2 linked regions of the Tribolium castaneum genome follow. The protein of the gene in region 1 purifies or fractionates together with the protein of each later gene. This does not show direct contact. Links are inferred from orthologs where the notes say so. Each region holds a gene or a part of one and is shown in the gene's direction. Other genes may lie near its edges.

Evidence for each region. The genes of interacting proteins can lie anywhere in the genome.
Region 2: the proteins of NKAP family protein CG6066 (region 1) and CkIIbeta purify together in Homo sapiens (co-immunoprecipitation; 3 studies listed by BioGRID and IntAct, counting the BioPlex papers as one, with this or other methods). This does not show direct contact. The link is inferred for Tribolium castaneum from reciprocal best matches to the Homo sapiens genes NKAP and CSNK2B.

The regions. Positions count from the first base shown.
Region 1 is NC_087400.1:4,954,078-4,956,975, reverse strand, and holds NKAP family protein CG6066, read left to right. Parts: upstream 1-1,285; 5' UTR 1,286-1,377; coding exon 1,378-2,277; 3' UTR 2,278-2,330; downstream 2,331-2,898. Other genes in the region: waprin-Rha1, read left to right, coding at 767-992, 1,040-1,182. UniProt on the Homo sapiens protein: Acts as a transcriptional repressor. Plays a role as a transcriptional corepressor of the Notch-mediated signaling required for T-cell development. Also involved in the TNF and IL-1 induced NF-kappa-B activation.
Region 2 is NC_087397.1:979,770-983,654, forward strand, and holds CkIIbeta (casein kinase II subunit beta), read left to right. Parts: upstream 1-1,383; 5' UTR 1,384-1,527; intron 1,528-1,735; 5' UTR 1,736-1,739; coding exon 1,740-1,811; intron 1,812-1,861; coding exon 1,862-1,964; intron 1,965-2,014; coding exon 2,015-2,206; intron 2,207-2,255; coding exon 2,256-2,445; intron 2,446-2,717; coding exon 2,718-2,826; 3' UTR 2,827-3,330; downstream 3,331-3,885. Other genes in the region: mitochondrial import inner membrane translocase subunit Tim17-B, read right to left, coding at 3,432-3,785, 3,830-3,885. UniProt on the Homo sapiens protein: Regulatory subunit of casein kinase II/CK2.

The DNA.
Region 1 (2,898 bases):
ATTTTTTATACAGCGTTGGCGGAAGTATAGAACCAAGCGTTTTCAAAAATTGTTTTTTTCGAAATTTTTGTTTGTTATTGATTACGTGTATAATACACGTATTAATAAATTTTTTGAAAAATTCAAATAAGAAAAAATTTACCAATCGACCATTTTATTATATTGAGTAAGATAAAAAAATAACTAAATCAAATATAAATATAAATATAAATAAATATAAGAGATTTTTTAAATGTTTCTTTTTAAATAAAAATTGACCTGTCTCAAAAATTTTATTTTTTTTGTTTTTTTTTACTAAGATATTTAAGGTGGCTTGTTTTTAAACTAAATGTGAATTTTGTTGTTATACTTTTGGTTCAATCTGTTTACAGTCTTAAACGTGAAACTGTATAACGATTGAAATAGTGTGACTTCTCTGATAAAACTTTACTCACAGCAGACGCTTTTCTGACTGAAAACGCGATGAAACGCTCAAAAAACTAAAATTTTTGACCTAATTTTGTTTAGCAGCAGGAATTGAAGAAAAAAACAGTAGTAAATTAATACAAGTATAATAAAAATGGGTAATTTTTAATACATTTTTTCTATTTTTGTAGATTTCAACCAATTACTAAATTGCGCAAACCGCAGTGGAACCCCACATCCGCCCTAAATCCGCACACTTAATCAAAATTTCAATTTGTCGTTTTGTGGTTTCCGTTTCTTCGACTCTTGCACCTACACAACATCCAATTCCATTCATCTTAAAGCCCTACAAGTGTTAACAATGCAGGCAAAACTTTTCTTAATCCTTTCCCTTCTAACTGTTTTTGTGTACGGCCAAAGGCCTCGAACAAAATCGGGAGACTGCCCCCCGTACCCCAACGTGGGGATCTGTGAAGTGGCCTGTTTCGAAGACAACCACTGTGCCGGCCATTTCAAATGCTGCCGGACGGCTTGTGGCGGCACTTTTTGTACGGCCCCTGTAACAACGAGGCGAATTCAAAGAGGAGGTGAAATGGATACAATTTTTTTTAAAGAAAATTAATTTGTGTTTTAGAGAAACAAGGGTCTTGTCCAGTTGCACCGTCAGGCCCTTGGGTGTGCTCCAGCAGGTGTGCCCTAGACTCGGACTGCAGGGGGGCTAAAAAGTGCTGCAGGAATCGGTGCGGGGCCATGGCTTGCACCAAACCCGAATTTTAATCAGTTACAATTGTAGTATCGTTGTATGAATAAAAATTAGCAAATCGACGCATTTTGTGTTTTATTTATTTCCTTAAAATTTGAAATGGTTTGAGCAAATGTCAATTCTAGCTTATGGGAATGACGTAAAGTGACTTCAGTTTGACAGTTTTTTTTAAAGGTTATGTTATTGTAAAAAAATTGATTTTTTACGAAATGATGGATGTGGCAAAACACAGACGCAGTCGGTCCCGTTCCCCGGACCACCGGAGACACAAAACTGATAGATCGTTTAAAAATGATCGTAATAGGAGACACAGGTCCAGGTCTCATTCCAGGTCAAGAGACCGCCATTCCAGCAGACGCAGGTCTAGATCCAGAGGCACCACAACAAACGGTTTTGAACGAAACGACAAATATGAAGTCACAAAGAAAAAACACCTTGAGGACGAGTTCATGGAGTCCCGACGCCAGGAGCGTGAGATCCTCGGAATGAGGGATTACCCCAGCATTTGGGGCCAATCCCCCGAACCCGAAGACTCCGACAGTGACGTCGAAGACGTCACCAAGAACGCCCCCAAGCTAAAAAAACGGAAGAAGGAAAAGAAAAAATCCCACAAGAAGCATAAAAAGAAGAAGAAAAAGAAGAAGTCTTCAAGTGAGAGCAGTTCAGGGGAGGAAGAGTGGGTCGAGAAGACCACAACCACCAACAAACCCCAAACCAATGCGGAAGAGACCGAAGAGGTGATCGTCGGCCCCATTTTGAAGCCCCATGCCGCCCTGACTCACAAGGAAATGGGCAAGGCTTTGCTCCCTGGTGAGGGGGCTGCCATGGCTGCGTACGTCGCCGAAGGAAAACGGATACCAAGAAGAGGTGAAATTGGACTCACGTCTGAAGAAATTGAAAGTTTTGAAGCCGTGGGTTATGTCATGTCCGGCTCAAGACACAGGAGAATGGAGGCTGTGAGGATACGGAAAGAAAACCAGATTTATTCAGCTGATGAGAAGCGGGCTTTGGCCATGTTCAGCAAAGAAGAACGGCAGAAGAGGGAGAACAGGATTTTGGGACAGTTCAGGGAAATGGTCAACTCCAAACTGGCCGAAAAGAAAAATTAATTTCGTAGAATTGAGTGTTTATTACGTATAAATAAAGTTTTTTTATTACTTAATTTGTTTTACATTGTTGTACCCAACCGGTCCATCCCCCAGGGAAATGTTTGGCGCTGAAAATTGAACTTAAATTTCGGGTCAAAGTGGCCTATGATTTCGAATTAAGTTGGCAACATCTAGTTGCCAACTAAATTTAAAAATCACAGGCGACTTTAATTAAAGACGGAACAAAACGAATGTTTTACTTTACGTATCCCAGATTTTTGGCTAAATCTAGCGCAGCTCGGCTCCGCCGCCCCGACTGACAACTGAAAACTAAAGGCGTGGTGTTTGTAGGCTTTTCTCTTCGGAAAACTTGACGAAATTGTTCATCACTTGTGTTCTGCAGCGTTTCTTCTAAAGTGGCCACTTGAAATGAAGTACTTTGCAGTTAATTCATAAGTTAATTAGGGTATTTACAAGGTATATTGATGCTTCCAGGAATTGTTCCAGTTTGCGCTAATTCCGACGGGTTCCTCACATCAATTAGAAGAACCTGTCTGTTGTCTTTTAGGCTTCTAACGTAGTCAAAAGTTACTTCGTCTGACATTCTGTGGCTTATATTTAACGTTTGTGAGAATTGGGATA
Region 2 (3,885 bases), on another chromosome or scaffold:
GCGCCTTACCTCGAACTTTGTTTAAAAAATTAGATGTGGAGCGTCATCGTCTCACTGACATTGAATTAATTTTTGTAATTTCCTGCCGTCTTTCATACCCACTCAGCTTCAGAAAAACATCGTCGCACTAACACTGCAATTACAGTACAAGCGACAACAACCTTCCAATTAACTAAACACACCGTGGAAGAAAATGCAATGTATTATAACCACTTGTTTGTTTACAACACTCTCCCGCACAAGAGAATGAAGCCGAACAATAAATAATCTGCTACAACCTTGACTCGCAATTAACAATCACAATAAACCAATTACTACATTTTGGTGTAATTTAGCCTTTGTTTAAATAATGATAACAAAAGAGCCAGAATTTATTTATGAGTCAACAGTCTTCAAAAACCGCAACTAGCACGTCCCACTTGTGCAAGCAGATTTCTAAAAGTAGATTGGGTTTTCACTTTTCAACTAACAATAGGCGGTTAAAAGTTTATTGTCCGGTTCAAATGGAATTAAATGTCACTTAATAATTCGGGTGACGACGTCGCGGCGCCTAGGAAAGCCTTCGACTAGACCGGCCGTCTGCGCAAACTAAAAATAGGGAAATGATCCGATTTTCACTATTTTTATCTAGTTTTCACGGTTTTGGGTTACATAATGTCATCAAAAGAAAATTATTTATGGTTGACTATGTTTAGAGAGCGGAGCGCAAATCGGTCATTTTTATTTTCAGAAAAAAATTATAGTGTTTATACAGAGATTTTTATTGGAAACACATCCACACTTTTCGAAAAGTTGCAACAAACGTGCTGAACATTTTCAAAAAAAACTTTAATAAGCAGCTAAAAAGCTATCCTAATGAGCTCAAAAAAATAAATAAAAATAATAAAAATAATAATAATAATAATAATAATAATAATAATAATAATAATAATAATAATAATAATTTTGGAGAAAGAAGAATTGCTGATGTTAAAAAACGCTCTTAGCAGGTTTGAAAAGAAGTAATACATTAATGTAGAAGATTGTAGAAGATTTATAATGCCGGGCGGAGTCTTAAACTGCCTATTTTGAAAATGCCAAGTTGAAAAAAATCTTGGAAAAAGTCTCATTTAATAAGTTAAGACACACATGAATGCAAAAGTGCAAAAGTTATTACATAATATGTTGATTAATGAAGTTGATATGAAATTTTGATAACGGTACATTGTATTGAAAATAAAAAAAACATTTTATAAGTGAATATTTTTGATTAATTAATACTACTGTATGGATAGAAAAAAATACAGGGTGAGCGCGAGGGTGAGTTATTTTTGATTTTTTCTTGGATGCAACCCCGTTTGCGTGTGTGATAAGTTGTGCACGCCGTTCTGAGGTTTAACTGTAGTTAAAAAATCCCACTTGTAATTTTCAAACTTAGCGGTTAAAGCTGTCATTTAATGCCGTCACTTTCCGCTAGATGAGCCCAACATCAACTCTTTTTTCGCGTAGATGAAGTAGCGTAAGCGTGGCTAATCAAGGTACAAAGAGGTAAAATTCTCAAATATTTCTTTCCCCGATCACAATTTAGCCCTAATCTCGTCATTTGCCAACCCTCCACATCCCTTCTAAGCCCAAAAATGGGAAATTAACGTCGTAGTTGTGTCACAAATGTCATTAAACGTAATCTAAACATAGGGTTGGACAGCCACAACCGTCTCAAAATTCCAATTTTCTAAATAAATCGGAAATGTTTTAGGAAAATGAGCAGCTCAGAGGAGGTTTCGTGGATTTCATGGTTTTGCGGACTTAGAGGAAATGAATTCTTTTGCGAAGTAAATGAATTTGCCTGTTTTAAAGACGAGATTTTTGAGTGTATTTGCAGGTGGATGAGGATTATATACAGGACAAATTTAACTTGACGGGCTTGAATGAGCAAGTTCCGCACTACAGGCAAGCTCTTGATATGATACTAGACTTAGAACCGGGTATTTTGAACCCATCCCTGGTTTCACATTTTTTTAACTCGGCTTTTTAGATGATGAACTTGACGATAATCCGAACCAATCCGACCTGATTGAGCAAGCGGCCGAGATGCTTTATGGGTTAATACACGCTAGGTACATTTTAACAAATCGGGGGATCGCCCAAATGATTGAAAAATACCAGTCTGGGGATTTTGGGTATTGTCCACGAGTTTACTGCGAATCGCAGGCAATGCTGCCTTTGGGTAACCCCAACACTTTTGGTATTTTTTTGGGTAATGGTTTGTGCTTTAGGGCTGTCTGATGTACCTGGGGAGGCAATGGTCAAGTCATATTGCCCCAAATGTATGGATGTGTACACACCAAAGTCTTCAAGGCACCACCATACAGATGGGGCCTATTTTGGGACAGGTTTCCCTCACATGCTCTTCATGGTGCACCCAGAATACAGGCCAAAGCGTCCAACAAATCAATTTGTTCCTAGGTATAGCCGAACTGGCGTGAGTCTAATTGAAAGTCTGGTCAAGAGTGCTTGGCGAATTTAATATTGTCAGTTATCAAGTGACAACTGAGAAGTCAAAACCTACTTCATTTCGGAATTTTTGGGATGTTACGTATAATAATCCTCAATAACTTTACACGAAACGAAAAATTAGTCATTTTTTTATTTCGTTGTTTTTAAAGCATTGTCTTGACCCCGCTTTTATTTAGACTCACTTGATTTTTTTAGAATTGTTCTTCAACAAATGATTTCAGGTTATTTGGTTTTAAAATTCATCCCCTTGCTTACCAGTTGCAACAGCAAGCAGCCTCGACTTTTAAGGCGCCTCTGAGAAGTTTGAACTTTAATAATGGTAAACGTTAATTTAAAAGGTGTATACATTTGATTTAATTTATTTCTACCCCAAATTTGTGTATTCTTGTATGTATGAAATTAAATCTTGATTATTTTCTTTCATACTTTTGTATGGCGTTAACTTTGCATAAGGTTAAAAATGTGCAAAAATTCCATCATTTTTATAAATAGGGTTCAATGTATAATAAATTTCCCAGTTTTGTTTTTATAAATGTAAGGATAGTTTAATTTAGAAGCGTCACCGGTTTCGTGTAAAATTAACTAGCATTCAAGTTTGTAAATAACTGATTAAAAAATTCAGATGAGTTGGTGTGTCATGCCTGAGCTTAATTAGTAAATAGAGTGGTCAAAAGTCTGAATTTTTCAATCACACAGCGTAATCTAAGATGTATAAATAACACATTTTAAATAAAACATAGGAAGCAAACCTAGGTTCTGTATTTTTACTTAAGGTAATCACAACCAAGACTAAGTTATGAATTCGCATGTTATCAAATAAAATTTTCTGTTTTTCGTAAGAATCTTTATTTGACCCATTACATAAATAAAACACAGATCAAAATAAACTTATATTTACGCCTTAAACAAAAATTTATCTACAAACACACGCGCGCCTACTGGAACGAGTAGCCCCCGTTCTGTTGCCCCCTCAGCTGGGAGGGGTCCTCCATGGGGGGCATCTGCGGCTGGAACTGCTCCGCTGACAACCTAGTGAACAAAATCCCGACTCCTTCAATTAAAGCTAACAAAACGCCCCCAATGAAGGCGCTCCCGGCCATGGCCGGGAGCCCGTTTCTCGCCGCGAGGATGCCCCCAGTCGCGGCCCCACTTATAATGGAGTTCCAGGGGTCCTCCTTTTTCCTAATGTGGATTAGGGCGCAGTCAATTGTGGAGAACATGCCGCCCCAAACGGCAAAGTTGCCGGCGATTATAGGGGACCGTTGCTTGATAGCAGCCAAACTGCCAACCTAAAACGCAAAATCACCACGGGCTTGTGAAAGGGGGCACATACAAATCGTCTGTTGAAACCCGAAGGGGCGTTGCGAAAGCCTTTAATGCTCTGGAAAA